2 linked regions of the Neodiprion lecontei genome follow. The protein of the gene in region 1 binds, or shares a complex with, the protein of each later gene. Links are inferred from orthologs where the notes say so. Each region holds a gene or a part of one and is shown on either strand. Other genes may lie near its edges. The genes, in order: methylcrotonoyl-CoA carboxylase subunit alpha, mitochondrial; methylcrotonoyl-CoA carboxylase beta chain, mitochondrial.

Region 1 (15,476 bases):
AAGAAAAAAATTTTTTCAACAATACGCCACAAGACACTGCAGCATCTACCGAACATACTGCATATTGCGAAAACGACCGAGTGCAGTAACGACTCGTATATTAGGGGTGGGTAATGAATGACCAAGTGAAATAATTCATATAATATTCTAATTTACGAGGGAAGGCTTAAGTGTGCGCTACACTATTGTCTAAATGGCATATACTATTAGTAAATATAGGCAAAATTACTCTATCGAATGATCGACCGAGCGGAAGAACGGACACGCAGGTAGGCGTGTAACTTATCGATTCCTCCCGACCGCGACCTTGCGTAACTTTTACATTCCGCAGTTACGCCCGCGGTATATATATATGTGTGTGTGTGTGTATATGTATATATGTATATACATATACATACATGACACTGTTATTATAGTTCTTATATCACCTTCGTCGCCATGCATCAACATCTGCAGGTCAAACAAGTCCCGTCGGGTGTGAGTTGGGTGCAAGCGACGTGTGTACAGATAGTAAGTAAGTGGAGGGTGAGAGGAAGGGGGCACGTAACAGCTGATTGTCAGCGGGAAGCAGACACAGCGGTTTACATCCGTCCTACCGCTTTATTCACCGCAGCCGCGGCACGCCGCGTATATCCGTAATCTAATTATAAACGAATACACGGAAAAATTTGTAAACATTATCGCTAAGTGATGAAAAATTTCAGCAGTTTCTGATAGTATACTAACAGGTTTTTAATATTCGAGAGTACTTAATTATAGCGCTATAATGAAAATTGAAGGTACAATTCATTTCCGTAAAACATGTTTTACATAAATTATAAGTGTTTGGGGTCGCTGATTACAAATTTGAAATCAGATTTTGAAAATTTACTATGGCGGATGCGATCAGCGACACCGAAAATCGTAGATTACTATCTTGTTACAAAAATTGACCTGGCATAATAATGTGTGACTCAGAGGGTTAACGTATCAAATTTTGCTAACCAGTTTCATGTATTATAGCGAAGAAAGGTTTGGTATACGAAAGGAAAAATGCAAACGGTTAAAATATATACCTCATAGCCGCCACGTCTGCATGACCCAGTTAAGAATGCCTACATATTGTTCTGTATTAACTATTTCGTGGTTTTAGGTACATGGCTAGCGGGCACGTAGGCGATGCAGGTGCGTCGGCATCGTCGGCTAACGAGCGATTACTAATCACCGCTCTGACGAGCAACGGTTACTTTGATTTAACTAAATAAGTAAGATGAGGCTCTCTCGAGATTCTAATCTTGCAACACTGAAATTGGAGCAACATTTAGACACGCAATCTGCTTGAAATCCTTTGTAACATGCGAAAACTTGCGCGGTTTGTACGTTAAAAAAAAAAAAATGTAAAGTAAAGGGAAAAAATCTACGATACATCATCTCTTTCGTGGTTAGAAAGGCACGGGAAAATGGATGAGGGGTTCCACCGGAGGTTTAGCCCTCGGCACGTTCTTCGCCAATTACTTATGCCTGCCTATACGTACGTATGAATACCCAGCGAGACAGAAGAACTCGTTCGACCCGAAGGGCTGCTGCCGCTGCTTGGGGGGGGGGGATAGTCATATAGGAAAGAGGGAGAAGAGCTAACCGTTCAACGCAAGCACGGAGAATCTAACATCGAAGGGAGCCGCCCCGGCATTTCCTGCTAACAAAGATGACATCATAGCACCCTTCTTAATACTGACAATAAATAGCAGAAGGCTATTACCGCGGTGTCTGCTTTAAAATCAGCACACGTGCGATTAGTTGTTATCATCACACGTCGCTGGGTTCCGCACACCGTACAACCATGCCTAGCGATACCTGCTTTAACAGCAACCAAAAATATTGCAAACATACTCCGCCGTTTACATGTGTTGTTATTTCATTATTTGATAGATATCAAAGACAATTGAGAAAAGTCTCAGAGGTAGAATATCGTTGCATCGTATAGCTAGATGTGTATCTGGCAGTCGTGCCGTATCTACCCTTCCTCTCCCCCCTGCCGCTAACGTGCAACCGTGCATTTTACTTACCCTGCACACACATGAATGCAAGTACGGCCTTAATTCTCAACTGTCTCATGCACATGTGTGGGCACGGATATCGATATCGTGGGTTGAGAATAACCTATGACGGATATGTACGTGAATACAGCAGTGACAGTGGGGGCGGGTAAATGCATCGGTGTGAAATAATAATGACCGTACTTACGTGATAGATATTTGCTAATGTATGTACTGCGCGAGCAGGCGAAGCAAAGCGACGAATGATTAATGATCGTCCAACGAGTGGACTGGTAACGGATGTCAAGAGGAAGCGGCAGAGGACGAATTAAGATCGGTATAATCATGTGCGCATTTCGGTGTGTGTATGAGAATAAAGGCATACATCACGACGACAATAAAATTAAGAGGACAGATAAAAACGATGAGAACTTACTTCCTCCAGCGATGTGATGGTCTGCCTGCACTGAGGCATACGCGAGACGAAGGTGGAGGTGGTCGGGGAGTTGTAGTCCTCCTTGGTCTCCTCGACGAACTCGCCGACCGCAATGAGCCCTGGCATATTTGGCGCGTGCGATGTCGTCGTCGCGACGCTTTACCAGGCCGGCGGCACCGAAACGGACACTCTTCGCGTCTGCGATTAGGAAAAATCCGAAAACACAGCCAACTACGTTGACTCCACGACAGGTCGCGAAAGTCGAGAAACTGTCAGATCGTCACACGCACTGCTCACTTCACATACACTCACTGACGTCTCTGTATCGCGAATCGGGCGGACAACTTAACCCCTGAATCTGATCGGGGCCGTTCATTTTCTTTCCTCAGCTGCGCGTCGTTCGGCAATGATTGCGCTTTCTATAGCCGCTCCCGTCTAAGGGCGAGCATGACACTTCGACTCACTTGCGAATCACCACCGACTCTACCGCGGACGCATCTTTTTTAGCCAGGGCTCTATACATGCGCTGTCTGGGCAGCCCTGGACCTTATAGCGAGCGACAGCAACGATGCACGTACCTTGGGTTTATTGTTACTGATTCCTCCTCTCTTCGCTGCCGCAGTGCCGCCTACCACCTCCAATCGGCGGCCATAACTGCCGCACTACTTTTACCCTACCCAGTGTTCCTTGCGCGAATTACTGTACCCAATCTTTTTCTAGATTGCCCTGCCACCTACGGTGTTTCACGCGCGCAAATCCGACTCGGCCGGCAACAAGATTTCTACCTCTATCCCAAACTATGCCCGTATCGATGTGTCAGTTGACCATGCCGGTACTGCAGAATGCATGCACTGTTGAATTTTTCTGGCGCGCCAACTTCCACAAGATTGGCTCTGTTTATTGTAAATGGCATGTGGTCGGCCTGAAAAAATGGGATTCAAAGGAAAATAGGGGGATATTAGTCATCAAAAAATATGTCACAAATTGAGCCATTGATCTAATGTATCGATTTGTTTAATCTACATGTTAAGTTTTCAATCAAAATGTCTTTATTAAAAGTTATGTAGATTGGCGAGATTGTATTTACAGCTCACATACTCAGAATTGAAATTTTTTACTTCCTACTAAATAAGTCAAGTTTGTAATGAACAAAAGATATTATAAACAACTCCGAGAAGGAATAATTATTACCTGGAAAATAAAAATGTTGAATGATGTGACTAGACTCAATACCATAAACATTTGCGCAGGTGTATCATGCATGCATGTGTAGCATGCAGATCTTTAAACGCATAGAGGGTAGACAGCGAATGATGGAATGTTTTTGACACATAGACAGCGTGCGTTTGCAGTCATAGTCTTCGATAGTTGTCTCGTTGTTGACCCCGATTTTCCGAGAAGATGGTTGAATAGAGAAATGGTACGACGGAAGCCAGCGCCAGACACAAGCCGACAATGGGTCTGTACCATACCCAGGCAAAACCAATGACCAATAAACTGATGGACATGGAGACAGATATGTTTACAGATTCAATAGCAATCACGCCGCATAAAAATGTTGAATTCAAGACGAGCGTGCGTATTATGTTTGCCAAACATGTAGCAGCGAGAAACAGCACTAGCCAACCCAGACCTCTGCAAGTGATGAAATCATGACTCAGTAAGTCGTAATTATCGTACCAGAGCGTTTATCATTTTCAGACAAATTTGCCAGTCCAACCTTATAGCCCAGGTGCGCCAATAGTTGTGCACATGTTCTAGGTGAAACATCTGATCCACGGATATCACGTCCTTTCTTTGTATTAAGATTTCTTCGCCATGCGAGGTCGTATAGGGAACGATAGTTCCATCTACCTGCATGCCGATAATTGAATAGATGTCATCGCCCTTGCCAGCGTACGAAAATTGTATTCTGATATCTCCGACCTGATTGATGATAATTAGAAAGGATTAGTAGAAGTAGAAATAATGCAAGAGCTGTAATAACGGAAAGCAGTGATTTCAAACCTGAGGATTCCATAAGTCATTACTGTGATAGTAGAGGCCAGAGTGCAATTTGATGTCTCTACGCTCCGGCCTCTCATCGCTAGTAATCTCAACAAAGTGATTGAATTTCTTTTTTAACTCTTCACCAAGAGTCAAGGCTCCAATCTTAACCTCATTGGCAATTTGTATCTGACTCCGCACAGGCATGATTTTGGGATTATGGTGACCAGTTCTGATATCGAATGAATCTGAATCCACAAGCTTGTCCTTCCATTCTGTCGTATAATAGTAGTGCTTTTCATCTTCGGTAACACCTCCAAAACTGCACAGGGTGAAATCGGACACAATGGAAATGAATCAGTTTATTTCTAACTGGGTGATAGAAGTTGTAGATTGTAGTAAAGTAAAAATTTCAAACCGTGAGAAAACAGTATGAAACGAAACAGATGAAGTACAATTCAAGATTTACCTCACCTACGTTCCTCTTCAATTTCGATCCATTGATACATCTGTACCCTTCTCTTCAGCTTTACGCTGGCCATAACGATTCCATAATCAGGTTCAGTGAGCGGTTCAAGCACTCTCAGTGGCCCCGAAAAATGAACAAGTCTGTGCTGATGCTCAGGTAGCACATGGTTCACACTGGACAGCGGCACAATGTTACGCAGCGCCTCATTCAGCGAATGTGCTGTTCTAACCGCACGGCCCTAAGGACAAGCAGCAAGGAGTAAACAGGGAATTGCATGTTCTCTGAAAGCAGACTGTTCCTATAACAAGCTAGGCCAATGGGGATTTCATAATTGCAAAGGTCTTTGGTACAGCCGTCGAACAATGTGTCAGTCAAAGTCTAGTGCAATACCTCGTTCCAAAATAGCAGGCACATCCCAGCTGCGAATAGAACTGACCCAATAATGGCGGTCAGCCAAGATTCCTTGAACTGTTCGGCAACGGTCATCGGTGTGTGAGTGGGTCCAGCTTGTTTGAAACCGGCCGATCTATCGCGGTATGCGTTATCAACATTGCCTCTACGAGGCTGCCCATTCTGAAACGAAGTCCAAACAATGTGAAAATTAGGATTACGTTAGGTTAAGTTAGGTTAAATTCTACAGAGAATAAACAAGGTTGAGGCCGGTCGGATGACACGCGAACTTACGTTTGTCCGATACATCCCACCTGTGACAACAATCACCATAAACTACGCCTGACTCGGCGTTTGTATTCACGTACAACAACACGGTGTTCATGTAATCTGGGACATCAACTTAAAAAAACATTCTCCAACAGGCGACTGCCGGATACTCTGGGTAAACCCATCTATACATGGAGGTAGCATCCCCATTTTCGCATGCGTGACCGTGTAAAGGAAATACCGGTATATTGTCTCTCTCGCTCTGCGCCGTGATTGGCTTAGCGTGCTTTCTCAACCAATCACGGACGCAGGGCGACAGAGGTAGAGTTACTGGACCCTGATTTTGACTTGTTTTTCACTTGACGGAAAATTCTCATGAGTGAAATACACGGTTGTACGTGAAATATAAATCAGACTCAGGCCCCATATTGCCCTTACCGTATAAGCTCGATGAGTAAACATAAAACGACGAGGGAACGACTGATGCCGCCACAAATCCTCAATTTCCTTAACAATTTCTGCAATTTTAGCACAAAGCGGAAAGAAAATGAAATGAAAATAGAAAAGCGAGGTTAAGACTTACAATTCGGAAATACAAATGACAATGTCACTGAACTGGCCTGAACTGCGGTCGCCTCGTCACGAAACCTTTCACAGTCACGATAGTTGATAAATGTTCATGTACTCGGAGGCGGAGATTTTTATTGCTCTGGAATTCTCTGATAACTTCTTCTAAGTCTTAGGGGTTAGAAATGGTAAGAATACAATCGAGCGGCGAAAAACTGACGCTTAATTTACAGCATATGTTAGGACGCTTGTCCCAATTTCGGCATCGCTAATCCGTTTACTCGAATGTTTTTCAAACAGTCACCTCCATTGTGCCGAGGCTGTGCCAAACAATTAGCTGTTGAGAACGCGGGATTCGATGTATTCGCTGAAGAGGCATCGTCAAGTCTCAGGGGAAACAACATCAGGACTGGCATCGAGCTAATCACTGGGATGGCTGTGAGTAATTGCTATAACACTGAGGCAACGATTCACCAGAGTGCTTTAATAGAAACGTGTGAAAAATATGAAGAACTAATCAGTACCTATGGTTAACTTTTTGGGGTCAGAAAATCGACATGCTAGCACCAAAAGTCTGCATGAAACTTTTTCCAATAACTGTATGGTTGGCCTTCAATTTTTGATTCTAAAATGGGCTGACGATCGATCACAGGTTTCACATACTGACGGACTCCCCAGAAGATTGTGCACAGAATGCAATGACAAGCTGGAAGCGTTCATGGCCTTTCGAACACAGCTGTTAACGTCTCTCAGACTCTTTCTAAGCTCTAGAGATAGTCGAGCTCCTACCGGAACCGAACATCCGTTGGAAATATCATTACCCCCGTTACCTGTGCCAATACTCAATCAAGAAGGAATCGGACTATCTCATGTTAGGGAGAATACATATGTAACGTTAGAGTCAAATAGTTTTGTTAGGTATAGCAGTAGTCAGACAGAGCATTATGTGAAAGTGAAGAGAGCAAATGTGGCCGAACGGGACGACGAATCCGAGATTGATGTGTGCTCAGGGGATGACGATGAAGTTCTCGAACTAGATTTTCAGAGCAAAAAGGATGAAATCTATGAGATTGATAGTTCTGAGGAGTCGGACATACAAGTCTGTGACTACGAACCAAACAGGTTATGAGCTTGTCTTATCACCAAGCTGTAAATGTTGCTCAAGAGAAAAAGCTTCAGGATTTTCTTTGGTATATCACAACAAACTAAAATAATTAAAAGTAAGCTTTCATTAAGCAGAAGAATTCGATGATAAGAATTAACTCTTAAAACGATTCACAGTCACTCTATACGTCCCTGAACGATGTGGCTGCATAAGTTAAAAACAGCTTACGGAATACATGGCTTTGTTGACGCAACTCATTATCTTATCTCAATATTCATGACGACGCTATTACGAGACCGTTTGTACGTGTCAGCAAAAAAGAAATGGTTTGATAAGAAATCGTCTTGATTGAGTGGTTGGTAAAAATTGCGTCCACCTTACACCGAAAATTGACCAAGGAAAAACGCATTTTTTAATACGAGAATTTACAGCTATCACCAAGTCATGTACACCCTGTTGCTGCGGTCGGTCTGGCCTGTTCATAAAACGTAAGGAGTACCCGTTTGTCGATAAGATAAGATCAAATATATTCGTCTACACATGCATGTGTCTTGATCGTGCTATATTTACAGGCCCTGGCATATAACCTCGTGGATCGATCGGGAATTTTCATTATCGACCGTACACAATGGAAAAAGGCTTGGGAAGGTATATGCACACAATATCTATACGTATAATATGTACAATGCATAATTTAGATATCAAATTTTAGCAAATCTCTGATGAAATTATAAAACGCAGCTAATTCTGAGCGATTTTATTTCCCGCGCGCAGATCCTCATCGCAAATCGCGGCGAAATCGCTTGCCGAATTGCAAGAACCGCTCGTAAACTTGGGGTAAAAACGGTGGCGGTATACAGCGACGCGGACCAGGAGGCCATGCACGTCCGTTTGGCTGACGAGGCCTACAACATTGGACCCGCGGCTTCGACCGAAAGTTACCTGAAGCAGGATAGTATAATTGAGGCTGCCAAGAAGTCCAAGTCCCAGGCGATACACCCCGGCTATGGATTTTTATCGGAGAATACTGAATTCGCCGAGCTCTGTCAGAGCGAGGGGATCACCTTCATCGGGCCCCCGGCGAGCGCGATCAGGGACATGGGGATAAAGAACACCTCCAAGGCCATTATGGCCGCGGCCGGCGTACCTGTAGTTCCAGGTCCGTAACTCCGCTACCTGCGGCGGTCCTATTTTCGTCATAAGAAAAAAAAATATTCTCTCTACGCAGGTTATCACGGAGAGGATCAATCCAACGACAGATTGATGGCAGAGGCAAGACTTGTCGGTTTTCCACTGATGATTAAGGCGGTGCGAGGAGGTGGAGGCAAAGGAATGCGCATAGCTTTTGAAGAAGGAGATTTTTTCACGGCATTGGAGGCGGCTCGAACCGAATCGGCAAAATCGTTCGGCGACTCGGCCGTGTTGTTAGAGAAATATGTTTCCGAACCCCGGCACGTCGAAGTTCAGGTATTCGCTGATCAGCACGGAAACGCTGTCCACCTGTTCGAAAGAGACTGTTCGGTTCAAAGGAGACATCAAAAAATCATTGAGGAGGCCCCCGCGGTTTGTTAATGCTACATGTATAATGTATATTTATACATTACCACGTGATCCTGATAATCAACGTTATTTTCTGCAATTTTTCAAAACTTACAGCCGGGAATTTCGCCCGAGTTGCGGTCGGAGCTAGGTGCAGCCGCCGTCCGGGCGGCAAAGGCCGTTAAATACGTGGGAGCCGGGACAGTGGAATTTATTCTCGATCGTTACACTCACAGTTTTCATTTCATGGAGATGAACACGCGGCTCCAGGTTGAGCATCCCGTTACCGAAGCAATTACCGGCACTGACCTCGTCGAGTGGCAGCTCACAGTGGCTGCCGGAGAGAAGTTGCCGCTTACTCAGGAAGAGATAAAGTTGGCGGGACACGCTTTCGAGGCGAGAATATACGCCGAGGTTGGTTTTCATCGTTGTATTTCGCAATACCTCGCGAATGACTAGTGAATCCTGCGTTACAGGATCCGAATAACGGGTTTCTACCTGGTGCCGGTCCCCTGTTACATCTAACGACCCCGGAGATGTCGGCTGACGTCCGAGTCGAGACGGGGGTGCGGCAGGGTGATCAGGTTTCCGTGCACTACGATCCGATGATAGCGAAACTGGTCGTTTGGGGGAAGGACAGGAGCGAGGCGATCGGGAAACTCGGAGCGAAACTCGCGGAATACAATGTGAGTAATGTTTGTCCGCGCCTAAGCGGGGGAAAAACGTTTAAAAATACATTGCGATGTTTATTGTAGATCGTCGGCGTGGAAACAAACGTGCAATTCATCATGGACCTCGCTAGCCATCCGAAATTTGCCAGCGGTGATGTTCACACCGGCTTTATAGAGGAGAACCACGCAACTCTTTTTCCGAAAATCGAAATCACCAACGAGATACTGACCCAAGGAGCATTAGCCATGATCCTAGAAGAGAGTTTGCCCTCCTTGAACGATGCTAGCTTTACCCCGTTCGCAACAAACGTCGGCCTCAGACTGAACCACGCGCTTGAGCGTAAATTTCAATTTCTCTTCAAAGATAAGGAATTTGTGGTTAACGCAAGGTACCTTCGACCAGGTGTGTTTAACATGAGAACGAATGATACGGGCCCCTGGAGAAACGTGAGCGGTTCGTTGATAAGAAGGAACAATGTTCTCGAATTATTATCGGAAATCGACGGCGTAATAACCCGCGCTAGGATCGTTAATAACAATGGAGAGCTTTATTTATTTACGAACGTACGTAATATTCTATATTTAATTTTCAGTATTGTTCCCTACATCTACAGTGAAGCCCCATTGGCAAAAGATGAAAATGAACACGTGAATTTTGTTTCAAAGGAGCGCAAGTGGCAGCTGACGATACCGCCGCCGAAGTTCGTCACCGCTGTATCGTCGATCAGCGGTCAGCAGCGAGCGGTTGGTTCTGCGATGAGCCCAATGCCCGGTGTCGTCGACAAGATTTTCGTTCAGCGAGGTGATATTGTTAAAAAGGGCGATCCTCTCCTGGTGATCGTTGCCATGAAAATGGAGGTGAGTATGCCACGATTTGCTTTTCTTTCTCTTCGAGAGCTCTTGAAACTTTATAACACGCATTATTTTTTTTCGCCTCAGCACGCGATCAAGGCCGCCTGCGACGGACTTGTCGAGGAGGTCCTTTGCACTGCTGGCGAGAATGTTGCCAAGAATAAACTTCTCGTTAGGATGAAGGAGGAGGAATCAGTCTAGCTTCTGTTGCCGTACAGGGCGGAAAGTTTAATGATACTTGATACGATTGGAATCGTCGAATCTTCCTTTTTTAACTAATTTTTAATTTTTTATAATACCCATAAGGCCAGTTCTCTGGATTTGTTAATGGTTGTTTACAATGCTAGATATTTTTAACGAATAAATGTACATAATACTCCTCATACGCAAAGAATCGATTGTATGTCCGTAGCTATATACGACGGAACCTGTCTAGTTCATATCTCCCCTTCTCCTTATATATCTTGGTCGTATGCCGAAAAACTGTAAAAGTTATTTGCGGGGGTAATCAATCTCGGGGCGACTTCGTGGCACGTAATTAACGATCGCTCAACGTAATCGATCATTTCTTTAGCGGGTTAAGGTGGACTGGCGGGTCCGTGTGTTCGATGCATCATAGTATCACACGCATCTATTTACACTAGACTTACGTTAGTTTTTGCCGGTGTACATACGCACGTATGTACATACATCAACGTGTCGTGTAGTGCACACAGAGACCATTCCCGACTATTGTATTTCGCACCTGGCACTAGTTCCCTCTCTATTACCGGGATGTATTAACGAACACGGTTGTATACAGAGTACAGGCATGAACCCGATAGCGTGCCGCGAAATACCACGAAATAGATCTCCAGCGGCGCGAAACCCCCGGCACGTTCTCTCGCAAACTTAGAACAACTTTCTTCCTCGGCCAATGAGAGTATATGACTGTAGGATAGGTGTAAGGTATACCAAAAGTTTCAGGGGCAGTTCAGCCGGGCGAGCGTGCCATGAAATCCAAAGAGAATTTCGAAAGCGGCGGTTAAGGAGTTTAATAATAACGTTCGCAGAAAATATGCGAAACGCGAAACAAATTCTCATCAACGTGTTCACTCAACATCGCCATTCTCATAAATATCTTTCGCGATATACGGTTCGGTGGAATAAGGCTAGATATACCTATCGATCAGAGTTGCAACGCGGATTGATTGTGAGCCTGAAAACTTATTGGAATCGACTGATGGAACGAAGGGTCGACGCTTCTTCGTTCCCACCTATTCACACACCCACACACTGACAACAGGGTGTCGAGGTGTGCGAGGAGAGGCGGGTTGAAAATTTCGGAGTGTTTAGGGTAGGTGGTAACAATTACCGCCTTACACTACCCCCATCCGAGGAGCACAACCAGCGTAGCGGCTGCCTGTCAGTCAACAATTCTGCGCCCTGCTCGTCGGTGCGGACGACCTGCACGTCCCGAGTAACGGAGCCCCTGAAACTTCGTTATTGTCTTGCGGGACGGAGGGAAAAACGCTGAGGTGAAAATTCCACTGACTCTGCAGTCACCGCAGCAGGTTCAATTCTTAATCAAAAGTCACACCGACCATTTATTACACGTACTACGTTCACCGATACACGTCTACTTACAATAATAACCCGTATCCGGTAGGATGTAGCATTATATACATAAACATACGTATATTCAGTGATTCGCGTGATAGTTTGACTCATGCATATAACTTTATCTATTTGTAATTTCGCAACTTTTCGGGATTAAATCGTGTGTATGTCGGTGTATGTTATACCTGACGGAATGGGGTCGGTTGTACAAGGAAGAGGAAGACACTTTAAATTGCGGGGAGTTTATTTCAACAACTTTAGGAATTAGTCTTCTTTTTGCCGATTTCACTCATTAAATCGAATATCACGTACACAAGTGTAACTTCGTAGTCACCTTCTCTCTATAGACAATGTATCGAACAATTATAGCCATTGGACCCGAACATACCTACACAATACCTGGGCAATTTTTATAGTTACATGTCCTGTCGAACAGGCATGAGTGGAGATCGACAGACGACGAGTCAACGAGTACAGCGTATCGAAAGCCGGGGAATCCCCGAAAGAATCGCAGCGGTGCGTCTTATGCAGCAACGAGACGTCAACACGGAGAAGCCAACTTACCTCAGAGACAGAGGTAGGTGCAAATCGCGAATGCTATACCGTGAATACGGCCCTTTCTTGCAACAAAATATAATTTGCAATTGAGCAGGTGTACGTATGATAATTTAAACAGCACGTGCCGTCAGTGGGAGGTGATAAACAATGCCGTCTGGTGTTTATGACGCTTGGCTGCGCGACAAGCGACTGTGTCGTCTCCCTAGGGAATAACCGATTATTCCTGTAATAAAGAATGGAAAATAATTCGAGCGTGAGAATATGTTATAAACCGTTTTGCTATCTTGTCACTAATTTCTGGTTGTTAGGTATAAATTGGTTGCCTCTGCAGTACGAGCTGCGCGGTAATTCTGAGTAGATAAATCGCCGTGTTTCAGCTTACGTGAAATTCAGCAGAGATCGCTTATGTCGTATAAAAAAGTGTTTAAAAGGCCTTGGCGAGCTATAGGCAATGCTATTTGCACGAACGTATGAGGTGCGCTGCGATATGATCCAAAAATAGCTTGTACCCGGCGATGGGTCTTCGCGATAAGATCCTTTACCGTCGAATTTTCGAACAATCTCATCGAGCGCAGGCGGTAAGTTCCAACGAACAGTTCTACATGCATTACCGCATCGTTCGATCAGATTCTGATTTATGACCGTCGGCTAACACGCTACGGGACTCGCGAGGATCGACTTTAATCCCATATGCAACAGTGGATCGGTCAACCGATTAGGGTATTTTAGGTATGAAGCTATCGCAGCGCGCGAAAGTTTTGCTGAAATTCGAACGCGAGAGGGAATGTTTTGCACGTTGAAGAAACTCCCGTTGCACGTGCCTATGGCTATATAATTGGTTACAACAGTGTATCGCATAACGATGGTTCGGGAAGATGTTAGTGGGTCATGTCGGAAAACCCTGGCGAACTGACATTGCGAGAAACCAACTTTGTCTGCAGATATATGAGCAGGAGTAGGGGGAGGGAAACGGAGCCAAGACATCGGTGTGCAGGCGCATCGGATACCGCGGAATTTTTGACGTCTCGCGATGATGTTCGGTTGGTATAAAACCACGACCATCCTCCACTCCGATTACAATCGCGGCGGTATCTCTAATCCGGCCGGAACGATTCTTACGGAGTGAAGCAAATACGCGCTCGGATTTTTTTCACGATTATTCAGGCATGCGGCCTGCACCTACGAATATCCTGCAGGTACACATTCACCTCGTTTGCTAGTATTGGAAACATGCTGCTATTCACCCGCACCGCGAGGTGCGCCGAGCTGATGTCCGAGCCCGACGAGCTACAGCTAGCAGGTCTGGGTTTTATCGCCAGTTTTTAATTACTCGGTTTCACTAGCTGCTTCACGAGCCTTCTTTTCCTCATTTTCAGAGCGGGTGTTGTATCCGAGAAGCACCAAGACCCTGGCTAAGGTGCCGGTGATCGGAGGAACCCCGATAAGCGAGGAGACGTGCACGGTGGGTATGATGTACAACGTAACACCGAACACCTACCCAACTAACGTATAGCAGATTATTCTCGGGTTTTTCTGCAATGCAGGCATTACGGCAGTTGGTTTTCGGCTCCTGCGCCAGTCCGCCAAGGAGCGAATGGACTAGGACAGGTTTGACCCTGAGGCCAGGGGGGCAAAGTCTTGCCTTCGGTTTGAGGGCGGCGAGGAACTCGACTCGGAGTTTGGTCACAGCGGTACAGGCAGTGATGCTGAAGCACTTTCTCTTCAGGACTAACAAGATTGTCACCAGTTTCGCGAGACCAGCATCCCCGGAAGCGTGAGCGCAGTATAACAACAGTATTAATGATTGCCCGGGAATGAATCCGATATAATAGCATAGAAATTTGGCTTCTGTTGCAGTCTACTGAAGCCGAACCACGAGCGGCAAGTCGAAGTCCTGAGCTTGTCGATCGCTGAAGTTATATGGAGGTGTGGAGGCGGCGACGCCAAGCCCAGCAACGCCGCGACTGCTGTCAATCTCGCTTCTACAGGCGGCGCGTCCTCCGGCGTCTTTGTGCCCAAGGCCGTTGTTGTTCTGCCACAGGAGACGCCCTACGTTCAGCATAGCGTGCAATACTTTCAGGACGGGATTACCGAAACGGTATGGTGTTTACGCGTACAGTAGTCGGATTTTTTTATCTTCTCGAATTTTCGAACTCGAATACAAAAGAATAAGAAAAAAAAAAACCTACAGCACGGTGATCTCGAGTAATGGCGACTAACGAATCTTATTTTCTGTTAATAATATATGGTGAAAATCGGTACAGCTACATCTCTACGAATTCCATTCTCTTGAAGACCTCCAGATATTTGTCAAGAGGTACCTTTACCTGGTAAGTCGTTCGTAATTCCCTTTGCGAAACACTCGAGAGGAGTACCCGTATTATATTTTGGTGTCGATTTAGTTTCACGACGAAGGTGGACCCGGAGCGATAATTCTCCTCTACAGCGCCGTGCTGTCTCGAGGACTTGCCAAGTGAGGATACGTATACACGTAGTCGCATGCGTGTTCCTGTACACAAATTACACGTATCGTCTAGAGTGCGCGTTATGCAAAATTAATATATACTATAATGAGAATATGACAAGACCCTAAGGAGATACGTGTAATATAAAGAAATCTAACGAAAGGAAAGCGACCGACCCTCTGAATGACGAAATTCTCGTAGAGTGCGGACCGACTTCGAAGACCAAAGAACCTCGATGCTCGGCGGGTCGCCGGAAGAGGGACCGATGAGCGTCGCGACGCTGCTGTTAACCGGAAGGTGTTCGCCGCACCTCCACAACGGGGTGCTTTACGTCGGTGACGAGAACACCTACGTGAGGAGGAGCCCTTTGATATTGACAAATAACGTAAAACCAGGTTCGTCGCAGCGTGTCTCACACACCTTCGTCCTCTGTCAAGGCCGTGCCGAGATGGGGCGTCCTGGCGAGGAGCGAGGTCGGTATCCTGGTGCACGAGGGTGACGGTGCAGACGCCGACAAGCAGCCCGGTTCCCGACTCAAGACTCCGAGCCTGCCG
Region 2 (15,485 bases), on another chromosome or scaffold:
GCAACAACATGTAGGTATAAATACATATTAATAACATCAGGCATACGCTTGTACGATACCGATCACGTATATCTGCCTTTGAGGTCCGTAGCACATATGCTTGATATACACGTATATTATATTATACACTACCAGATTCTATCTATTTGGCAGTGGATCTTCGTTTTTTTCTTCGCGGATTGTCTAACTGGCATCAAATGTAATAAAACGAACCTCCCAAAGACGCGCAAAAAATGAATAAAAAAAAAAAAAAAACACCCCGAGGGTATAATGTCAGAGCACCAAACAAGTTATAGTGAGTATATCGGCTGAGCGGCAATAATGACTAATGAGGTACTAAATTTCGAACGGCGTATAGGTATACACATGTATACGGTACAGATCGACATATATACATCATGTCTATCGTAATGCGGTCTATCATTATTATAATTATAGTCACCGCCGAGAATTCATTACACCGATCGTTCCAAAACTTGATTCATTTATACGCATATATATATAATATATATATATATATTACGAGTACCGTTAATAATCCCGAACTACATGACCTTTTTTTAATGATCTTATCAACGCGAGACAAGAATATTTTTACGTATATTTTAGCCATGGATATTCCTCGTATAACGTATGAGAAATAAAATACGATATTGCTTTGAAATAGATTTGAAGAGAAATCGAAGGGAATAAAAAAAAAACGGTCGCACGTACCGTACTGAAAAATTGTTTTCTTATTAATCGTGCCGTAATTTTTGTTTCTCTTACAGCATTGCTGGCGTTTGTTTTGAAAGGTAACAACGTTACCGCCTCCGAAGAAACAGCGGAAAGGCCCGGATCGGCGGAATCGGCTGCAGCTGTACATCCAAAAAACGAGATTCGCGAACAGTATAAATACAAGGTTGTGGAAATGGAGACTGTGGCGACGGTGAACGCCGCTTTCTCAATTACCGCGACGGGATATTTGAAATTAGCTAGTATTTTACTCGTCGTATTCTATACATTAATCTGATCAATTCGCGGGAGTAGCTGTCATAAACGATAAATATAAGGAGAAGATCCCCGAAACGATAAAATGTTTCACGTGAAGCGTAAGAGGAAAAAATTTAAGCGGAAATTAGACAGAACAAATTGAACATTCTAATTGAAAAAGTAAAAAAGAAAATCCCGAATCATAACGATATTCTGCCGTACGCGTAGAATTTATCTGTTTACGGTATTTAATATTCTTATCTTTTTTTAATCAAGTTCTACTAATTGCAAATTTCCTGCGCGTTCAAATAATAATAACAATAATAATAATAATAATAACAGTAATAACAATTACCGACGCGTCATGGAAACTTTTTTTTTTTCATTACAGCGCGCACTGCAATTTAATGCATCCTATATATTTTACGATTTTTTTATTTCCATCTTATACTCTGCGTACAGACGTTTTTATACACTCTTTATTATTGAACATTATATTTTTTTACGAAGGAAACGAAAGAATGAAACCGCGCGCGAGTCTTTCTTGGAATCAAAATTTGATTTGTCCCACGCTTTCTCGATGCAAGATAAATGAATTTTGAAGACAAATTTTTTTTTCTTCTAAATCGGTATGCATTTATTCATATGCACTTGGACTAGATCGATTTTTACATTGAGAGATTATTAAATTACGCATACGGTACGTTTTCAAAAATCGAATAGCGGATGTTTCTAAAATTTCGGAATTAATAGCGTAGTAGAGAAAAAAGGAAAGTTAAACGATATGTAATTAACGAAAGATAGAAACAAAATATTTCATCGTCAACCGTGGGACAATTTCATGTGATACTAATATATTATTATACTTATATACAATATAAATATATATTTAATTAATTAATAATTTCGTTTTACATAATAACGATACGTATAAATAATAACAATTGAATACTTACAATACCGAACCTATTAAAGCTCATTAATGAAATCCTCGTGCAGCTAAACAACTGCTACTAACAATAGGCCAGAGAGAAAGTGAAATAATAATAATAATAATGACAATGATAATAATAATAATAATGACAATGATAATAATAATATTGATAATAATAATAATAATAATAATGATGATGATAATAACGAGGTAGGATCGTGCATTGTTATCATTATTTTCCCAATAAGAATCGATAATATTGATGTGTTAAATTCACAAACTGTAATACGTAATTGAAAGTAATTTCTTTAAAATATCAGGATAGTAAAAGTCCGTCGTCTCTGATTGTATAAACGACGGTATGTGTATAAGTTAATAAACGCGCATTAATAATATGTAGGTAACGCAACACAATACAGAAACGAAGCGCAACGAATAAATAGCGGTATATTAACAACGATCGTTTTGAGTGTATACCTGTATAAGTTTATACAAATCGCGATACCGAATATTTATTATGTCGAATAAAAAAAATATTTATTCGATAATTATTGTTGTACAGGGTATGCCCAAATTTAGAAAGACAAATAATTGAAAAAACAAAATGAATGACTTATGAAATGCGCGATCATGGAGAAGTAAGAATAATAATTATTATTCTTATAAAAAAAAAAAAAAAGAAATAATTATCCGATATATTGTTGTTGTATGAAATACAACGACGACAATATAATATATATATATAATTTCTCCGTTATGTAACTGCCAATTGATTGTTTCCTAAGGGTATTATATACGTAATGATAAGAAAAAATTAGAATCGAATAATAATGAAAATGAAAATTAAACTGTGTAATGTAACTACTCGTATAGTTATAGATAGCTAGGTATATGGGAAATGACATGTCTGAAATGACAATATTAATAATAATAACAATAAAAACTATAAAAGGGATAAAACTGGCTTTTGCAAACGGAGAATTTTGAAGGAATAGCCAAACAGCTAGTCGTAGAACGACGAAGAGTTGAAGCTACATAATATTACGCCGTGAAACTATATGAACACGGAGCTAACCAACGTACTATATACAATAATAATATCATTTAGTACGTATCATCGATTAGTGATACGTCTATATAATTATTACATATCAGATGTAAAAAATAACAAGTTGCTTCAATAAAAATCAACAGTAAGATGTATTCGTATATACCGAGAGTTCTATAAATGACCTGCTCAACGATTCCAACTCGCCTTATTTGTTTATAGGCGTAATCAACTTTGTAAAAATATTACCAACGTAGTAGACGAAGTGACCGATGCGTAGTGAACATGAACTTATATTACAGAAACAGACTGCGCGGTCTGTGAATCAAGCTGAAGCCTTAATTAGAAAGAGGGAGCACAGCTGAAACCGGACCTTTCTGTTGCACGATTGAAAGAGTGGGGAGCAGCCGCCAGGCGGGGAAAGCAATAAGGCAAGCGGGGAGGTGTACTTATAATAGTCTACGTGTTTCCCCCGCCAAGTCACCGATTAGAGTGAGAGATCCGACTCCAGCTGTTGCCCTCTCTTTCTAATTACGGCTTCAGCTCGGTGCACAGACCGTGGAGTCTATCTCTGCAAGTCTATGCCTCTATTTCTGTTTCTACCGGCGGCCATTTTGAAATTCAACCTTATTGTGTCCACGGACTTAATTATGTCTATTTACGCTATCTATCCATTTCCGCAGTCATAGGAACTTAATTAATTTAAAATAAAAACACATTAATGAACCCAGAGGAGAGCAGAATCGATTATCTGCGAATAGTAGAGGGTCGAACGAGAAATACCTGACGAGACACTCCAGCTCGAGACTCAGGTCCCACGGAATCCACTATCTGTGAAGAAGTGAAAAATGATGTAGCGAAAACCACTAAATTCTGATATCAGATGCTAGTTTTAATTAGAGTCCCTCTGTACGCAATAATACGAATCACATTATAGCTTGTGCACTCACGACAAAGTTACAAGGAAGAACCTTTGAATCGCCATCTGTTTGTCAGAAGTCGAAGTATATTTGGGAGCCAGCCCGTGCATTTCTGCCCAGGTTGCGGCAGCATGCGTCGTACCCAATTCTGCCGTAAAGTGCTGCCGAACACGGTCTTGCATGATCGGATGCTACAGGAAATGCTACCTAAATATTTCAGATAAAACTGGACTCAGAGAACGTTCGAGACCGATTGTAACTTAAATTTTGGTTACAAGTGAACCCACTTGGCGAAGACCGAATCGACAGGCTGGGCGACTCGCACGTTTCAACGATCACGTTATGAGAATTACCCCACGTAATTAAATACACTTCCATTTCTGATCTGCTAACTTTCCGCTATTTGGAACCGACAAACTCACAACACACACAAACACACGATTACTTCCGTACCGCACAAGATTGGGATTCGACCATTGGCATCAAATCGCCAAAATGGCGGAACGATCGCTCACCAATTGTTTTTCCCGGAAGGGTAGCTTATTTATTAACATGAGTTTAGCTGACAAGCCATCAATATAATATAATATAATTAATGAAATCGTTTGCAGTTCGTCTTTAGATGATTGTAGTCCAGTTAGAATTGTTTGATAGTGAACTAATTTTTTTAAAGAAAATAATTAAAAACTCTACATATATCTAACCGATATGTATAACGTTCAATATTTTCAATAAATTCATGTAGAATTTTTTACTATTTTTTTTATTTTTTTTTAAATTGGTTCACTCTCAAGCAATTGTAACTGCACTACAATTATCTAGAGACGAACTGTAAACGAAGTTCATTAATTATATTATATCGATGGTTTGTCGGCTAAACTCATATTAATAGCTTATCCCGCCAAAAATTGATTCAAACTTTACACGAGCGCTATCTTGACGCGATAATAATTACTAATTGATTGACTGCCGCGCGTATCGGTATTTCAGGTATTATCAACAAAATTATTCGAAATGCGGAAAATTTCAGTCAGACTTTTCAAACAGAAGAGTGCGGAAAAGCATATTAAAAAATTAGATAATTGAATAGTTTTTTCCTACCCTTGCTTTTTGAAAGACATAAAAATAAAATACACATGTTTGACTAATGTTGAGATGAAATTAAACGTATTATAAATAATGAATAAATGTAATTTATAATTGTTTTTTCTTCAATATTTAAATGAGTCACTGAATATTAATTGAACACATAACTGAGCGGATGTTCAAACTGGAAGTACCTTGCTCAGGATTGCCCAGTGACCAACCCTATTGAAAGAATTATGAAATAATTCAGCAAATAATTTATTACATGATTATTACATGAAAAATACTAGATCATATACATATAGTGTTACATCTGTGGTTTTGCGAGAGCCGATAGTTCTTGCAACCTCAGTGTGAATAGTCTAGGTCCTTGATTGAAAGAATTTAAATTGATAAGAAATAAAAGGAACTCCTCTTTTAATAGGGGAGAAAGGTTGCAGGTTATGCCCACACAAAATACCCTGTTTAAGGGGGGGCCTTTGTCAATTTCGAAGTTAACGTATAAATCTCTAAATATCAAATTCCATGTACCTCAAAAGCGACAAAGGACTTAACAGCCCCATTGTATACGCAACTTTAAACAAAGGCACTCAAGTATGTTTTCATTCGATGCAGGAATAAAGAAATGGTATAGATTTTACGAAATGGCAATATAGTGAAACTTCTCTTAACGGACACCTCCCAATAATGAATTCCTCTTTACAACGGATAGGCTAAAAATTTCCAGTAACACAATTTAAACGTTGATGTTGTTCTGAATAACGGATACTCCTCAATAACTGACAAAATTTTCAGCCCCGAAGTTGTCCGCTATTATGAAGTTTCACTGTAGTAAATTCGTAGAATTCATGCCATTTCTTTATTTTATTTTCATACATACATAAAAGCATTTACTCTTGTAAATATACGTATCTCTTATTTCCTTACCCCAACTGCCGATTCTTTGGAAAAATATGTCTATGTTACATGATTCCTGTCGAAGGCTATAGATCCATACATGTTATAAACGTATAAAAAAACTTTTCACAATTAAAATAATTGACAGTAAGTACATCGTTCCGCGTCGATTTACATTCGGAAAACGCCGAAGGTGCTGTCTAAAATCGGCGTATTTAATGCTGCTGCCAAACTCAATGCCAGTACCGCGCGAGTATCAACTGGATCAATCACTCCGTCATCCCAGAGTCTAATTAGAAATAAACATGGAGTTAATTACATTGACTAAAGTTCAGTAAGCTCGAACAATTTTGGTCTCATTCTTAGAGAAACTAATTGAAAATTAACCTGGCGCTGGAATAGTAGGGATTGCCTTCAGCCTCAAACTGTTCAATTATCGGATTCTTTAACTTGTCTTCCTCCTCTTGGGTCCACTGAAAAAAAGCCAATGTAAATGTGATGTCCTTTAGAAACACAAGACCAAGAAAAATTGAAAACAAACTTGTGAACCAAATTATACACTAACTTGCTTTCCCTCTCGAACTCGCTGATTTTTTGTAATTTGAACCAAAACTCCAGCTGCCTGTTCTCCGCCCATTACAGATATCCTAGCATTAGGCCAGGAATACATAAACCTTGGAGCAAAAGCCCGACCGCACATACCTAAAATTACAGTTTTCTTTTTAGTTTTAGATTCTTTAGTTTTAGATTTATCCACAAACGAAAAAGAACAGCTTACCATAATTTCCAGCACCGTACGATCCTCCTATGATCAAGGTGATCTTGGGAACTTGAGCACATGCCACTGCAGTTACCATTTTCGCACCGTTTTTGGCTATGCCGCCGGATTCGGCGTCTTTTCCGACCATAAAACCTACGCAATGCGATATAACAAAAGCAAAAAAGTGAACCTTTTGAATTAAAATTGAATAAACATAGGTACTCTGAACACGTACCAGTAATATTCTGGAGAAATATCAGGGGTATCTTTCTCTGCGCGCACAGCTGCACAAAATGAGCACCTTTAAGTGCGCTTTCAGAGAACAGTATACCATTGTTAGCAACAATTCCTATTGGGCAGCCATGCAGTCTGGCAAACCCGGTGACCAAAGTTTCTCCATACTGTTCCTTGAATTCGTCAAACTCTGAGCCATCAACTATCCGCGCTATAACTTCCCTAACGTCGTAAGGTCGCTTCAAATTAGCTCCAACGATACCATAGATTTCCTCAGCTGGGTAAAGAGGTGCGGAAGTATCCTTCTCAATCGGGATAGTTGAACATTTTTGACGATTCAAATTCTTCACCATGCGTCGAGCCAAGTACAAAGCGTGAGGATCGTCAATTGCATAGTGGTCAGTAACCCCAGAAGTTCTGAAAACAATTGTCAAGCTATATTAATAACATGCAGTACGGTATTTAATTCTATGACAAGCGACAAATAGTTTTTCCATCATACAAAGACACGTTCATTTCGATGTAGATCTCATCAATGTTTTACAAGAAGAATTACGCCTATGTTACAAAACCTTTCTCAATCATACCGACAGTGCAGATCTGCTCCTCCCAGATTTTCTGCGGTAACGTCTTCCCCAGTTGAGGCTTTGACGAGTGGAGGTCCTGCCAAGAAAATAGTGCCATTTTTGCTGATTATATTCTCATCGGACATGGCAGGGATGTAGGCTCCGCCGGCAGTGCAGCTTCCCATTACAACTGCGATTTGAGCTATACCACGAGCGCTCATGTTAGCTTGGTTGTAAAAGAATCTACCAAAGTGATCCCTGTCTGGAAATACCTCCGCCTGATGCGGCAAGTTCGCCCCTCCACTGTCCACCAAGTAGATACATGGCAACTCGTTGTCTTGTGCTATTTCCTGGGCACGCAAATGCTTCTTCACAGTTATCGGATAGTATGAACCACCCTTGACCGTCGCATCATTCGCAATTATAACACAGTTTCGTCTGCAACAAGACCACGATAGAATTTTCCAAATTTTGTACATATTCAATTATTTTCATTCAGGTGTGTGAATTCTCCAAGATGGAAAGGTGTAACTTATGAGTAACAAAATTAAAAAATTTAAATCTAGTAGATTAATTGGTATTGTAAATTGAAAAATTTAAATTATTGCAAAGCTTGAGACAATCTCGAAGCAGTTTTACGCAAGCTAAGAAAGGAGTATGAGTTTACCCTTCTATTTTTCCAATTCCTGTGATAAGTCCACCCGCTGGGACTTCGTCTTTTCCATACATTTGATAACCGGCCAGCTGGGATAGTTCTAGAAATGCGGAATCCTTATCGAGGAGAGTGTCGATCCTTTCCCTCGGCAACAATTTCCCAAGCTTAACATGACGGGATCTTGCCTTTTCGCCTCCGCCTTGAACTACTTTTTCTACAGTGGCCCGCAGCTGATCAACAAGGATTTTCATCTGGCTGTAGTTTTCCTGTAATTTTGAAATTGGCGTTAAATGCCACCTAGTTGTAGACAACGTTCAAGGATTTATTTCATTATTTGAGATCCAATTTGTTAAGAATCGGTTACATATGTCAATGATAATCCTTATGAAGTTTGAAAAAGTGACAACCGGTTTTTGATAATATTAACTAAATAATAAATTAAAACTCTCTTGTACGAAGAGTTCAGAACGTTGGACTTAAATTCGAACAGTACAAATAAGATATTCAAATCAGAGGTGAGTTGCGAAAGCTTGGTAGATAACAGTCACGTTATGCATAATGCCGGGTAAACATATATAATTTACGATACCGAACGAACGCTGATGTTCAATCACTGACCTGATACACCGGGGAACTGGTGTCTTGTTCGCTGCCAATAATCGACGCCTCATTGTGATATTTTCTTGACAAAAATCTCAAGCGCGTGACGATACAGCTATTTTTACGGAACATTTGTTTTTTCTTAGCGCAATGACTTACGTTACTCGACCAAATGTCCGCCACACACTGATATTCGTCGCTCGTCGTTTCTTTTTACGCATTCTTATCATTATCAGTCAAATGACGCGGTTCACTTGTATGTTGCAATTCCCGGATGGTAGGTGACGTTCGTTTGAATTCCTCAAAATTAGTTCCGTGTTTCTCCACTGTGGATTAGAGACACGACCGCTGTTCTAGAGAGATTCGTTTCGTTGTTTTTCATCTGTTTTTTAGTTTTCTTGCTATTGTAACATCCGACCGGAACGTCCGTATGTTTTATCGACTATTATTACTGCATGTTACTTTTATCAACTAACCAAACTCGAAGTACGAGAATCTTGTAACCATAAGGAATTAAAACAACTGTCCAACTATTTGGAATATCCCTAGATGGAAATAACTATGACATTCACTAACCAAAGCTCAAAAACCATGTTACGAGATCTTCGCACTACAAAGAGCTATAATATTATTATACGTTATTACATATCACTATCATATTAACACCATAATTAACTAACACGATTATATCCAATTATTATATAGCACTCGACAATGCCATTTGTGCATTCGGAGCTGAGAGCTATACTATAAGCGACTTACGCTATACCATATAACCTGGAGTACGGAAGATTGTAAAACCATAGATAAATGTATAACCAATATAATGTAAAGATAGCACTGCTGCAATAATCCATAAAACCAGAGACTGCAAAACCTTCAAAACCGTGAATACTAATTATCCAGCATGAACTGTACCTTCCTCCGTAACGCCGTATTGTAGGCAACACGCGCAACGTTTTGAAGGCAATGCAGATCTCCAATGTGGAGCCATACAGAGCTTCATCTAGAGAACACATTAGGAAACTTACCGACGAAACGATTGAAGGTAAATCAACTCGCAATAAACTCAAAGATGCATACGTGGCAACGCCCAATGACAGGCAACCAACAAACATAAGAAAAACGTTCTAGAAGCTTCCAAGCCGATTTATATCAATATAAGAATTAATAATTACAGAAGAGAATTATATACGAAAGCACACATGTAAACCTGCTCTAAAACTATGGATTATCAAATTGTTAAATACCCTAAATTTGTTAAGATAATTATAACACAAACACCTAAGAATATTCGCAGCAGCGCGATTCTAATAATGTTAAGCAAACAGCAACTATGTCTCATAAACAATCGCTATTATAATCCAGGTGAATAACGACAGTAATCAATTATAATACATATGTAATTTCATATAGATACACGCTATAAAACTAACAAACGACGAGTAACCAATATGACATATAGACTTTGTAACGAACAGGATAGTAAGAATATTAGGAAGTAAACAGGAACTAGAATTAAGCGCATCGTGAGCCCGGAAATTCACACGGCACTAACATAAAACATGAGTCACCACTAGCGCATCCGCACTGCGATTACCATATTAGGAAATAGCTGCCGAAAGCACGAGACGGCGGGAAGAAGCACAGTAGCCGAGGGGCCAAGGGGGGCTTGCGCCCCAACAACAAAGTCCACGCAGAATGGAAAATTACAGAACAACGACCCCGCATCTACACCACCGCACCGGTGCAGCGTTATACCATATGTCAAAACTTGCAATATAGTAATAGCTAATGAACTAAGATCACAGGCGTGCATGCGGCGAAGATGTCGTGTCCTGATTAGAATTCCTAGAAAAAGAGGGAGGTGCGCAAAAGGTGACAAAATCTAAAGAAGGGGATCGTTCTGCGCAACGATCGACCCCTATAAAAACGGCGACCGATCATCCGATCGTCCACTTGGTTTCTACGACCAGATTCGTCATCTTGTTCCGGTACAGTCTCGCGGTAAAATTGTGCTATTCTCCCTATATGCAACCGATGTCAACAATGTCGTTAAGCACTGCTCGATCGTTAAATATGCAGACGATCTGCAAATATTTGCTCATTGCTCTCCCGGTCGAATTGACGAATGCGTCGCTCGTATTAATGAGGATATTGCTCGAATCTGTGGCTGGGCAGATCAAAACCTTTTGCGCTTGAATCCGGCCAAAACGCAAGCGATGCTCTTAGGTTCGGCTCGAATTATTAACACGCTGCGACCAGCCCAGCTTCCAGAAATAAATGTGCAGGGTTCTCACATCCCGTTTGTCGATGTCATTGAAAACTTAGGCATTACAATCACGCCATCTCTCAACTGGCGAGATCAAGTCACAAGCATTTTAAACCGCGTATATAAAACGCTGTACCAACTGAAGGCTAATAATGGTCAGGCACTCACTTATAGTCTAAGACGGCTTCTCGTATCGGCGCTGATTTTTCCAATATTTGACTATTGCTCACTCCTCCTGTTGGACATTACGGTTGATGAAGATATCCGCCTACAACGAGCTCTTAATGCCTGCGTTCGCTTCGTTTTTAACGTGCGCAAATGCGAACATATTACGCCCTACTATGAGCAACTTAAATGGCTTAAGGTCCCCCAACGCCGGCACTATTTCCTCGGTCTTTTTGTGTTCCGCGCCCTGAAGTTGGGTGTTCCTCCATGCTTCGCGGCCCAATTGAAACTACGCTCCGTCGAATCCACGCGGGCTCAGCCGTCCCGAGCACCCCCCTCCGACCTCGCCGTACCGTCATGCAGGACTTCGGCATACCAGAAATCTACGTTGGTCTCGGCCACTAGATTCTGGAATTCTCTCCCTCCCGCTATACGTGACGCAACGTCAATCGGAACCTTTAAGGCTCTGGTTTTTGAGCATATCATTCAAGCTCATTAGCTTTCTTTTCTTTTTTCTTTTCCGTTCTTTTCTGTTCTTTTCTTTTATTTCCTTTCTCAGTTTTCTTTTTTTTTACTTACTTACTTAACTTACTCGCTTATACATTAGATTTAAGTTAATTTTTAAGTACATTAGATTTAAGTTTATTTTTTAAGTTTAAAATTTTGTATTTCTTTGTTATTGGGCTATTAATTTATACTGTTGGGTTCGCTACCCTAGTGTAATAAAATTCGTTCTATTCTATTCTATTCTATTCTGAAATCCTTTTGCCTTTTGCATTTAAACTTTTCATACAACGTTACTCTGCCCAAAAGTCCAGCTAGCTTTCAGCTCCATTTTGTCATATTAATTTAAGATCTTACACTAAGTAACTCCGTTTTTGTGACTTGAAATATTGAACTTATAAAATAAATCCAAGTTAATCAAAGTATCCGAATATATTAGAATCAGTTATTCCGTTAAATGCTCTCACCAATCTACGCTACAAGTCATCATATCCAGAGTATTCTCAAGAGGTAAGCCAATTAATTAAATCTTTTATCCAATAATTACTCCTTCCTCGGTTCGTTAGATTAGAGCGACAGAATGCCCGTTGTCCGGTGTATTTCAATACTTTATCGGTAATTGGTGACCCAAACTACTGATGTGAGTCTGACTGTAGCTGTGTGAATGATTCCGGTGTCTAATATCTGGAAATTTCCACCAGGTACCGTTCCGACGTCACATATAAAATTTTTTGGTGCATCGGCCGCGAAACCAAACGTTATAATCGCGAAAAAACTTTTGTGACGCGAGTAGCGATCGACGGACGGCGGAAATTTTTGCGCACTACCGACACGAACTGAAAATCATCCTAATCTCGCTCGATTTAATAAAATAACTCAACAAACCTAAATTTTAATACCCGTTAACTCGCCAAAATTCTAAAAATCAATGAGTCAGTCAAGAATTTTTCCATCCGCTCTGGAAATTTTCCATTCAAATATTTCTTCAATATCGCACCTACTGGGATCTTGTATCACTGAGATCCCTCGTTTTTATCGAAATACTCTGTCGAACCAAGATTCCAACCTTTAATCGAAACCCCTGACGAATACCCTTTGTTCTCATAACGAATGCTCCCAAAATCGAACGAAATAAACGGAGGAAAACGCGAAACCGTAGTGAAGCTTTGGGAACAATATACTCAGCCGATTATATTAAACGATCCGCACGAAATCCCGGACTCTGTAAAGGAGCCTTATCTCAATAAACCGCAGAATTCTAACCATACCATCGGAACTTCTGAAGATATTTGCTATTACACGGGAGATACAGAAGAACGAATAGAAGAAAGAAATAAGCTGTTCGAGCCCCCAACGCGACCCAGAACGATTAGCGAAGAAGACGCAAAGATTAGGAAAAAGGCAAAAATTATTTCTGAATACCTCCCGTTCAAACTTCCAACGATTTCTACCTCCTTTTCCTCCGACACGGAATCTAAAAGTTAAAATAAACCTTATTAACAAAAATTCAAACTCAGTCATCACATACGCATCGGTTATTGATCGGGGAACCCATAAAATAAGGAGAATTTTTCAGAACATCACAGCACCCCAACTCGTTATCCATATCCATAAAAACGAGTCAAAAATATTTTTTTTTATTACTCTCAAGCTCCCCGCTATCAAACCTGTCCTGTCTCTCTCCCATCTCAGCAGTCCCCGGAATTGTCGCTATTATACGAATCCCGAACAATTAATCCCCAGTTCCAACCCAGTTATAAGCAAATAAATCCGGTTGTGCAATCCCAACATTAAATGGGAAAGGAAGACCCTCCTATCGATAAAAAACGCCCAGCCGTAGTACATACTCCGCCTTCAGACCGACGACTCAGATCACAAGTTAGTACGCAGGGCACCCAATTATTTGAAGGACAATTAGAAAATTTAGAGGAGACGAACGCGTCGGGAAACTCAAGTCTAACTCCCGAACAGTCACGAATCTCCAACGAAAATTCTAATCCAACGAATAAAAATTCTCCGAAGAACTCGAGAAAAACAGAAAAACCCACTCAAATACTTATTCAAACGCCTGATTCGGAAAACCAATCCCAAACACATATCAAGATTCCTCAGGAATTTAAAATGGTAAGCGAACCCGTTGCAAGTACAGGCGCAACCGCCTCACCCGCACCGACTTATCATTATATCTCAATTAAGGATGCCTTAGAGGCAGTCACGGTGTTTGACGGCAATCCGTCCCAGGTTAGAAGTTTTGTGCAGGGATGCAAGGATGCACGCGAAATGGTTCCGCCTCAAGTCGAATTAAGCCTCGCGCGAATAATACGTAATAAAATCAAGGGAGTAGCTCCACGTGTGATCGAGAACGAACGGTTCGATACCGTAGACGAATTAACCGCGCGAATAAATGAGCTTTATGGACCAGCCAAATCCGTTAATCTGTGTCAGGGTGAACTACGGAAAATTTTCCAAAGACAGAATGAAGACGTCGCGACGTACGCATCAAGGGTACGCGAAGCGATGGAAAATACAAGATAGGCATTCTTGCAAGAGCAACGTAAAGATGATTTCGAAATTTTTACGCGAAATACCGAAGCGGACGGCAAAGCCGCTTTTCTGCGCGGATTAAGACCCGAAATCGACGGAAAAATCCCCACAGTACCCGGTACTCTAAAAGAACTGGTCGACGCAGCGATGAAAATAGAAAAACAGGAGAAAATTAAAATCCAACTTAGACGAGGAGATCAACCTAGCACAATTCAAGACGCTACGATAAATTATACGATGTTTCAACCATATAATTGCGTTGTATGTGGAGCAAACGACCACGATAAATACGATTGCTAATATAATTCAGATAAAAGCTATTACGATCACCGTAAACCTCGGAATCAAATTTATGTTATCCAAGGTAATCGAGCAGACTATCGGAATAATTATAATTCAAGAGATGCTTATTCGGATCCTCGACGTAACTCGAACACCTACCAACTGCAAAATAATACTAACTCGAGAAATCAATTTCCGAAACATCAAAATCGTCAAATAAATTACCAACCGCAACCCGGTTACGATTCAAGAGAAAATCGTCCCAATCGATAACAGGGACCTCCGAATTTTAGTAACCAAGACAATTACAGTAATCGGAGGTCGAACTCCCCTAATCAACAAGGTTATCCTAGAAATAATCAATATCGCGAAAATCGCTATCAAGGGAACTATCAATACCACGGAAACGTTTATCCCAACAATAACTCGTACCGTGAAAGAACTTATTCAAGGGACCCTAGCCCGCAGAGGTCACAATCCAATTTCAGACAGGGAAATCAGCGTCCAAATCAGTACGACGATAATCAAATAATTAGACAAACGCGTTATACTCCGCAAACAAATTATCAGCCCTACAATTCGAACCGACCTGACGAATACCAGACAGAAAAACCACGCGAATACTGTCGATATTGTAGAAACTACGGTCACTTAATCAATGAATATCCAACTAAACAGCGAAATGGTAGATTAAATCAAATACCGCGAGAAAATCGAGTCTCATTTTCGGGAAACGGGGAGAGCCTGCCGAACGACGGTGCGACCTCGGAGGCTCTCAAAACACCCAACCGCACCTTGTCTATTATACAGGGCGTACCGATAGAAAACTAGTGACGTTGGCTACAAGCGATATGGAACAAATAATTATAGGTCCGCCTCAAAATTCCGATAACAAATCAATCAACACGATCATAAAACCAGAGAGTATATTCCCTACGATCAAATTAGAAGCGAGCGAATTACAAAATCCGAGTACTTTCATGTTGGATACAGGCTCCGACCTGAACATTATAAAAAATAACTGTGTAAGGTAGGCTGAATCAAAA

What was found.
Region 2: the proteins of methylcrotonoyl-CoA carboxylase subunit alpha, mitochondrial (region 1) and methylcrotonoyl-CoA carboxylase beta chain, mitochondrial are in contact, whole or in part, in a cryo-EM structure (PDB 8JXM), measured with the Homo sapiens proteins. The link is inferred for Neodiprion lecontei from reciprocal best matches to the Homo sapiens genes MCCC1 and MCCC2. Residues at the interface, in NP_064551.3 of Homo sapiens: Glu519, Phe526, His531, Asp532, Phe534, Ser535, Pro536, Phe537, Ser538, Ser539, Ser540, Ser541, Gly542, Arg543, Arg544, Leu545, Asn546, Ile547, Tyr549, Thr550, Arg551, Tyr568, Tyr636, Leu637, Ser641, Glu644; in NP_071415.1 of Homo sapiens: Leu56, His57, Val60, Glu61, Lys64, Asp88, Ile91, Pro93, Gly94, Ser95, Pro96, Phe97, Leu98, Glu99, Gln102, Ile123, Gly124, Arg125, Gly128, Glu130, Arg234, Trp276, Leu278, His281, His282, His285, Lys298, Lys299, Leu300, Ile304.

Annotation. Positions count from the first base shown.
Region 1 is NC_060264.1:23,297,603-23,313,078, forward strand, and holds methylcrotonoyl-CoA carboxylase subunit alpha, mitochondrial, read left to right. Parts: upstream 1-7,187; 5' UTR 7,188-7,323; exon of another isoform or gene 7,324-7,361; intron 7,362-7,414; 5' UTR 7,415-7,682; coding exon 7,683-7,726; intron 7,727-7,810; coding exon 7,811-7,886; intron 7,887-8,012; coding exon 8,013-8,397; intron 8,398-8,466; coding exon 8,467-8,801; intron 8,802-8,894; coding exon 8,895-9,191; intron 9,192-9,253; coding exon 9,254-9,463; intron 9,464-9,532; coding exon 9,533-10,012; intron 10,013-10,114; coding exon 10,115-10,306; intron 10,307-10,387; coding exon 10,388-10,501; 3' UTR 10,502-10,694; downstream 10,695-15,476. Other genes in the region: arfGAP with SH3 domain, ANK repeat and PH domain-containing protein, read right to left, coding at 2,452-2,577; transmembrane protein 43 homolog, read right to left, coding at 3,804-4,086, 4,172-4,377, 4,459-4,759, 4,912-5,144, 5,297-5,479, 6,438-6,512; inactive ubiquitin carboxyl-terminal hydrolase MINDY-4B, read left to right, coding at 12,320-12,476, 13,834-13,919, 14,002-14,231, 14,315-14,555, 14,722-14,787, 14,860-14,930, 15,124-15,274, 15,360-15,476.
Region 2 is NC_060263.1:16,140,122-16,155,606, reverse strand, and holds methylcrotonoyl-CoA carboxylase beta chain, mitochondrial, read right to left. Parts: upstream 8,971-15,485; 5' UTR 8,805-8,970; coding exon 8,691-8,804; intron 8,339-8,690; coding exon 8,085-8,338; intron 7,856-8,084; coding exon 7,439-7,855; intron 7,269-7,438; coding exon 6,853-7,268; intron 6,771-6,852; coding exon 6,636-6,770; intron 6,560-6,635; coding exon 6,423-6,559; intron 6,331-6,422; coding exon 6,245-6,330; intron 6,147-6,244; coding exon 6,029-6,146; 3' UTR 5,203-6,028; downstream 1-5,202. Other genes in the region: uncharacterized protein LOC107224007, read left to right, coding at 771-1,012. UniProt on the Homo sapiens protein: Carboxyltransferase subunit of the 3-methylcrotonyl-CoA carboxylase, an enzyme that catalyzes the conversion of 3-methylcrotonyl-CoA to 3-methylglutaconyl-CoA, a critical step for leucine and isovaleric acid catabolism.